Linked DNA regions of Danio rerio. The protein of the gene in region 1 purifies or fractionates together with the protein of each later gene. This does not show direct contact. Links are inferred from orthologs where the notes say so. Each region holds a gene or a part of one and is shown on either strand. Other genes may lie near its edges.

Region 1 (3,829 bases):
GTTAACATGTTTACACTCGGTGCAATAGTTAGTTCGATACAAACAAACTGAATAAACAAAGAGCACTGGTCGCTCACTTACCAAATCTGTAGAGACAGGACAATCACCAGCAACTAGAGCCGCGCCTTTATTAAGAGGAGACGAGCAGCGAATCTGGATCTCAGCGTTTGCAGATGAGAACAGCTCTCAGGTAAACAATAATCCTCCTTAGACACGTAAGTTATTGTTGTCGAGCGTCGCATACACTGTTAATCCACACGTGACTCCAGCTGCGCTCTCACAGAGAGAAAATGAAAACAAAACTTCACTGCAGCAAACTATAAAAGCAACACTTCACGCTTGTTTTGCCAACACAACGTGGCGTCTCTGTCGTCTAAACACTGTGACAGTAATGAATATTAATGAAGTTGCACAATAGAGCGCGCTGATTGGTTTGAACCAAGCTTTACTCATGCATTAATGCAGCACACTGTAAGACGTAATAAGACTCACTCTGGCACAGACGTCCAGTCTGCACGCTGGAATACACGCTATTATGTCATGACCGTGACGCAGCTTCAAAAATTCGTTTCAAACCGGAAATACGAATTTGCTTGAAATAACGCAAAACAACCAATTTACACTTTTTAGTGAAATATAGGTGTCCTAATAGTGTTTTTAGCAGTGTGGGACACATATACCACTGTCAACAGCTCAACACATGTGTTTTGGTGTTTCGTGACCCTTAAACATTTTTAAAATTTCAGTACCGTTTGGTACCGAACTTGATACTTTTGACAACACTACTACAAACATGCTAATTCATGCTAGAAACTTGGTAGCAATGTTAATTCACTACAAATATCTTGATTTCTCTCGCGCTTTTACAATGTAGATTGTGTCAAAGCAGCTGAACACAGATGTTCTCGTAAACTGAAGCTGTGTCAGTCCAGTTATCAGAGTTCAGTTCAGTGTGGTTTAATGTTCACTGCTGAAAGCCTAAACACTGAAGAGCAAATCCATCCATGCGCAGCTCCACAAGTCCCAAACCAAGCAAGCCAGTGGCGACAACATACCATGGAATTTTGCGACTGACCAATCAGAACCCAGTATTTCAGACAGCCGTATAATTGTAAAGGAATGATCTATATTTCTGTTTTTGTTCATGTCTGTCGACAGAGATCAGCTACAGGTGTGTGCTGCATCTCTATTAATAATGCTTCCCTATGATATTCATTTAATCATTTAAAACTAAATAAAAAAATGTTTCCCAGTTATGGGTTGCAGCTAGAAGGGCATCCACTGCGTAAAACAAATGCTGGATAAGTTGGCGGTTCATTCCGCTGTGGCGACCCCCAGTTTAATAAAGGGACTAAGCTGAAAATGAATGAATGAAAAAATGTTTAAAAAGAAAGTAAACAAACTTCTCAGACTGTCATCTGTGTGCTTTCTGTTATTGCTGCTTATGCGGTCATATAGCCCAGAACACGTGCACACTCACTTGCATTTTTAATTTTAGGAGGAGTTAAATTTACATATGTGGTGTCAACAAGCAAAATACACCAGAATAAATTGTACATTTAGTTATTAATGATTATACCTCATATGATCATTTAAAATCATTCATGTCAATATTTAAGGTAAACATATTTACTTAGTGTTTATTTACAGCTGTGCACATTCTCCTGTCATTTTATTTTTATAGATCACAACCTTTGCGTGTTGTATGCACATTTCCACCCCGGTTTGTAAATAAGAGCTCGGGTGTAAAAAACAGGTCTGGATGTTGACTTGCGGTGTGTGTGTGTCGTCAGGTGATCATGTGCGTCAGGACAGCATGGACTTCAGTATGGAGTGGGAAGATTCCGCAAACTGCCGCTGCGGGGATCGCCTGAAGCCCCTGGAGCGCAGAGCGGCTAGACAACACCAGCGCTGCCTGGCACACTCTCTAGTGGGAACGCCCAATTACATCGCACCCGAGGTTCTGCTGCGCACCGGTATGAGCCGCACATTACAGCCGAACACTCAGTTATTCGCCCTCCTGTGAAATTTAGACCCTTTTTCAAATATTTCCCAAGAGATGTCTAGCAGAGCAAGGACATTTTTCACACTATCTCCTGTTATGATTTAGGGTAGAGAAAGAATTAGAAAAAGTTGTATTACTTTAGAACATGGTTTGTTTTGCTTGATAAATTGTTTTGAATCCTAGGCTACACGCAGCTGTGTGATTGGTGGAGTGTTGGCGTTATCCTCTATGAGATGGTCGTCGGTCAGCCTCCGTTTCTGGCCACAACTCCTCTGGAGACGCAGATGAAGGTGAGTTCTCCTGATGAGTTCAACTCCAATCTTAATTAAACACAGATAAACAAACAAAATCAACGAATGCGCAAGTAAATCCCAATGAAGCCCCCGTATAGATTTGTACTCTGATTTGAACACATCATGGCATTTCGAAATGGAGGTTTTTATTATTAAGGGAAAACTACTTAGCCCGGAGTGAAAAGTGTTTGAATGGTTTTGGAGTGGTCTGGTCAAAGTCCTGACCTGAATCAAATTGAGATGCGTGACCTTAGAAAGGTGGTTCCTCCTTAGCACTGTGACAGACTCATAGCAGGTGATCAAAACGCTTGATTGAGGGTTACAAAGTTTCACTCAGGGCTCTGTAGAATAGTATTTTGGTTTTCCCTTAATAGTAAAAATCTTTATTTTAAACTGCATGACGTGTTCAAATCTGGCAGTCAGTTATAGGCATGGGCCGGTGTAAGAATCTGATGGTATGATAACCTTGGATAAAAACATCACGATGTCACAGTATTGTGATTTCTGCTCTAATATATACTCTTTTTAAATGTCTGAGTAAAAACAGGGTTTTTGCAGGTTTCATCACATCAAATTTAAGACTTTTAAAGACCTTTTTAAGACCATTATCAATGAAATTTCAGACTATCACTGGGCAAAACACTAATACTTTTCTGTTATAATCAGTGGAATTTTTTTACTTGCCCAATTAAAATTAAAATTCAGTTATTTATTTAAATAATTTGTCAAACTCTCTATATATTTTTATTAGTACAACAATTCTTTTAAAAAAGACAAGTTTTAAAAGCTAGAATAAACAAAATTTATGCACAAAATAAATTTATTTTTTTTAAATGTAATTTTGTTTTCTAATGTTCAATAAATTTTCAGAATTCTCTAAATCAAGATTAATATTTATTTAGAGGGTAACTACACCTTTAACTTCTAGATTATTTTAATCTAGAATAATCTATATATAAAAACAGTATTTTTTGGTGTCATTTATTTATCTGAGACTCACATTGAGATACTAATCTACAAGTCTTCTGAAAATCAAAGCAAAACAAAATACTTTTCACAAATGCAATGTAGCATGAACAAAAAATATTATAGCAGTGAGAAATATCAAAAATATTAAATTAAAGACAATCAAAATGCCTCAGTTTTAAAGCTATAATAAACAACATTTATAAATGTGTGCATTAAAGCATGAAAACACGGAGAACTTGTAAACAAATCGTAAGGATGTAATGAAGACAATTAAACCATATTGCTAAATAGTTAATTTTAACTTTGTTAAACATTTTTTAGATGGATTTGTTGGTTGTACTAATAAGCTTTACATGGACAATTAGTGAAAATTATGACCTGTTTAAAAGTATTTAAGACCCACAACAGCACATTTCAGTGAATTTTTTTTGTGAGTTTTTGAAATTTAGGACATTTTAACACTCCGGGGACACCCTGAAAAAACGAAAACTTTTTTTCCCCCTTTAAACACAATATATTTTATTTTGAGATGCATTTAAAATATTTTGGAGCAGTAAACATG
Region 2 (4,583 bases), on another chromosome or scaffold:
CTGTACCATGTCTTTGGACTTGTGGGGGAAACCGGAGCACCCAGAGGAAACCCACGCAAACACAGGGACAACATGCAAACTCTACACAGAAAAGCCAACTGACCTAGCCAGGATTCAAACCACCGACTTTCTTGCTGAGGCGATTGTGCTACCCACTGCAACACCGTGCTGCCTATATAAATATATAGAGATCTTTTAAAAATATATATGTTAGGATTTATTAGTTTGTGTTTGAGTAAAATGCTAATATTTTATTCTGTAAGATACATTTGACATTTATTCCAAAGTTAAAATAAATAAATATTTATTTGTGTAGGCCTATTTGATAACGTAAAAATGTAAATCAACTAAAAATTACTTTGCCAGTATTACAAATGTGTTAATTTGCTGTTAATTAAAATCAGAGTTATTCTATCAAATATGTTTTGAGATTAAAACTTTGGTATTTAAAAATGAATATTTAAAATATATATATTTAAAAATTCTCTAAATTATATTTATTCCCTTTACTTCTGCTTAGTCCTTTTAATTATCAAGGTTTGCCACAGCAGAATGAACCGCCAACTTATCCAGCAAATGTTACGCAGCGGATGCCCTTCCAGCCGCAAATCAGCTCTTGGAAACACCCATACACTCACATTTACACTGATACACTACAGCCATTATTCAATTCACCTGTACCGCATGTTTTTGGACGGTGAGGGAAACCGGAGCACCTGGAGGTAACCCACGCCAACACGGGGAGAACATACAAACTCCACACAGAAATGCCAACTGGCCCAGAGCTCAAACCAGCAACCTTTTTACTGTGAGGCGACAAAGCTAACCACTGAGCCACCGTGAAGCCCATTATAAATAACATTTTAAATTTAAAAATAAAAAGTAATCAGGTTCCAAAATAAACAAATAGTGTGTTTTACTCAAACACGTAAATGGTAAATACAGAGACACTGGGCTTGGCCATGGGGTCACTTGATTTCTCTGAAGGTTTCTCAAAAAATGTTTGTTCAAAAAAGAAAATTCATTCATTTGTGGGGTTTTAGGTCCTATTTTGTACATTTATCTGACAACGCAGCACTTTTATCCTTCAAATTAACCTTACATGTTAAATAAACCATCGCATATCTGTCCTGTAAACCTTAAATATGTGCTAGAAAAAAAGTTCGAGTCAAATATTTCCCACAATGCTTTGCTCCCTGAGGATCTGGCTTGCGGCAGATCTGATCTAGGATCAGGGTAAGGTGAGGGAGCGATCCAGAGAGAGTTGATCTAGGATCAGGCGGTTAAAGACACTTATGGGCGCGGGTAAACTGGTATTATTGAAATATGTGGACTCTTTTAGAGTGACTAATAAACATTACTGAATCCGACTATAAAGTATGCTGATCTGAAGTGAGGCTCGGGTCTAAACAACTGACCTGAGATCAGGCTGCGGCGCGAGATCCAGTAAGAGCTGATCAGGGATCAGCAGGAGATGTGGAGGGCTGGGTTGGGTTGGACATTCAGCTGGTAAAAGTTTTCGTGCGCTTTTCTCTGGGTGTTGTTTGGACAGCGCTCGGGGGAGACTAACGTTATTTAATCGTCGGAAAGAGTTCGTAATGTTCGACTAAACACCGAAAACTGCCAAACGTCCACTAAACGCAAACGAATGGCCAGTTTTGTGCTTGTTTTCAGACTGTAGCCATGATGACTCCAAATTAGCTATCGGGCTAAACGCTCCGAAATGGACTCGGTTTCGCGTGTCAGTGCCAACCTGGATCCGGATTTCAGGATGAAACCGAAGTCTAATCGGTCCAGAGTCGATTCGGATTAACAATGCTCTCCAGAAAGAAGAGTAAAAACGAAGCGTCCAAACCACCCGAAGTTCAGGGCAAATATGTGAAGAAAGAAACGTCCCCTCTTCTGAGAAGTGAGTAATTTTAGTCAATCTGCCAAACAAATCCCCAAAATATAAAAATGGCAAACTAAATATCCTACATTGTTATATAATGTAGTCATTACACCGTGTTTGAAATCAGAACCCTGAGAGTAAAACACAATTTTAAGTGCATAAGGCTTTCAATAAGTAACATAATTCTCTTTAACAATTAGCCAGCACAATGTGTACAGTCACAACTATCAACCTAATAGACCTGTATTATTATAGTCCTGTTTATACGTTTTGAATTAATCAAAAGATAATGTGGCATTGCTCATATTTAATACTTTAATCTAAAACCATTTTCACTTACCACTAGCATATGTTGTCATTAGTTTAAAATGTCATATCTTTTTATTTACTTTAAATACAAAGGTCCAGAAGTAGAATGTTGTTGCTTTAACGTTACCCAGTTTAAGAAAATTATTCTTTAAAGAACACCTTAATATTTTGCTAATAATTATTTTTAAACTGACTGAAATTTCGGAAATCTTCACACAGCAGTAACACAGTATATTATTAAACATAATTGTTCAATATGGTAATACTGTCATTGTATTTGTTGCCAAATTTCGGATCAAATTGTCAAAACGGCATAATTGAATGGCATCAAAAGAGAGACTAATTCATCAGTCAGTAATCAAAACAGCAAGATGTTAACAAATGTGTTTTGTAGAAATCAGACTATCTTCAATTTTATGTTTTATCTTGAAATGTGTTTAAAGTGATGTTTAGAAGACATGGAAAATAATTGTAGTTTAGAAAATCTATATGCTTAAAAATTGTCTTGTATGTTTGTTTAGTATCTTATTCTAGACATTTTTAGTGTAATATTATAAACCTATATCGGAAATTTAAAGGTATAGCTTTTATGTTACTCTCAGGCCACTTGATGATCTTTAAGTAGACTTTATTTCTTCAGGAAAACATTAAAGAAGATTTTTAGCTGAAAATCATAAAATGCTAATAAAAGGTCCACCATCACTTTGAGAATAAAAAAATAAAAAAAACAATATACAGACAAAATAAAATTAATACCTTTGGCTTCTGACGATACACTGATATCTTACTGTATGAAGCTGAAATAATCTCCTAGTGCAAGAAACTGAACATTATTTAAATGTTTTTAATCCACACAAAGGAAGATATTTAAAAGAATGTCAGGAAAAAATTGGAAAAGTAAACATAATGGGTGTAAATATGCTACGAGATCTGTTTAGTTACTGACATTCTTCCAAATACATTCATTTGCAGACCTGTCGCCAGCCTATTGAAACGAGTGGTACTTTTTAATGAAAATTTGACCTTTTTTGCAGTTATTTTCCTCATTTTCTATTCAATTATGCGTTTTAGTGACTTTTTAAGAACTAATCTTTGCTGGATCAGCTTGATGGATGGTAATCATAACCACACTATTTTGATGCACAAAAAAATATTTACTACAATTTTGTCCAAAGTGCCCACCATAGTATTTTACTACGAAGTGTTTATTTACAAGCTTGGATATAAATTGTAAGTTAATCCAGTTTTATAAATAGTGTTATGAGATTAGTGTTTAACATACAAATTTATTATCATCCATCATTAAAAAAATAGGAATCTGGTAAAACTTGTTTTAAAATAAAAACTATAGCCTGTGGGCAAATAAATACTTTATTAAAATAAATACTTTATTAAAATTATTTAAGTCTTAAAGACTTCTTCTGTGTATAATTTTCACAATTTATGATAACATAGCAGTGAAAATGGGATAAATTAGCTCATTTGGGGGTCAAATTTTGGACTTTGTCAGTAGCAGGTTTGTCTTTTGAACCACCCAAACCCCCCTTGGCTACAGGCCTGATTTGTGTTCAGGAAAACAAAGATTTTCATATGGGATTGGACAAATGATGAGTAATAATGACAGATGTTTTATTTTAGAGTGAACTATCCCTTAAAGTATGCATTGATCCACTTACTCCAGGTTTCCCCCCATTGTTTGTTCTCAGATTTGATGCCCTCATTTATCCGCCATCCAACGTTCCTTCGACGCGAACCTCCATTAGTGGAGCCGGTTTCGGCTGGTGTGCCTGGTCCCGGTCCCGGTCCGTACACCACTGGATCTGTTGGAGATGTTAGCGGCCCTAAGAGTTTCCTGCGCAATGCTCCTCCACGGACCCCGCTAGAGGTTTCACGCAGAGAGAGTCACCGTCTGTCTGCCCCGCCACATCTTCATCGTGATTACTCCCCTTCCTCACCATCCTACATCAGCGATGCCAGTTCTGTAACAGAGAACGGAGACAACGGCCCGTATTACTATCCTCCAGAACCATACTACAATAACCAACCCAGACGAGCACGCAGACCAGACCACTTTAATGAGAACTACAGATACTATGACCACAATGAACTCAACTTCCCACGAAACCCAGGACAGCCCCAGACGCCTCAGCCACACAGCCGCCCTCCACCTGGTGAGTTACTTTTGAACTGGTGTGCATTTACACATCACATGCACAGACTTGCACGCATTATAATAGACTCTGCATGGAGTAACAAACATGATTGTCACTCTTTACTATAAATACACTGACGTTTGCTGTGTTTACGAGAACATTTGCTGTTTACTGGATGAGATTCTTCAGGTTCCTCTGACTGAACATAGATTCACTTTCTTTTTCAGCCG

Evidence for each region.
Region 2: the proteins of lats1 (region 1) and sav1 purify together in Homo sapiens (affinity purification with western blotting; 3 studies listed by BioGRID). This does not show direct contact. The link is inferred for Danio rerio from reciprocal best matches to the Homo sapiens genes LATS1 and SAV1.

Annotation. Positions count from the first base shown.
Region 1 is NC_133195.1:1,289,890-1,293,718, reverse strand, and holds part of lats1 (serine/threonine-protein kinase LATS1), read left to right. Parts: intron 1-1,793; coding exon 1,794-1,976; intron 1,977-2,188; coding exon 2,189-2,295; intron 2,296-3,829. UniProt on the Homo sapiens protein: Negative regulator of YAP1 in the Hippo signaling pathway that plays a pivotal role in organ size control and tumor suppression by restricting proliferation and promoting apoptosis.
Region 2 is NC_133188.1:40,261,335-40,265,917, reverse strand, and holds the start of sav1 (protein salvador homolog 1), read left to right. Parts: upstream 1-1,491; 5' UTR 1,492-1,815; coding exon 1,816-1,909; intron 1,910-3,906; coding exon 3,907-4,371; intron 4,372-4,583. UniProt on the Homo sapiens protein: Regulator of STK3/MST2 and STK4/MST1 in the Hippo signaling pathway which plays a pivotal role in organ size control and tumor suppression by restricting proliferation and promoting apoptosis.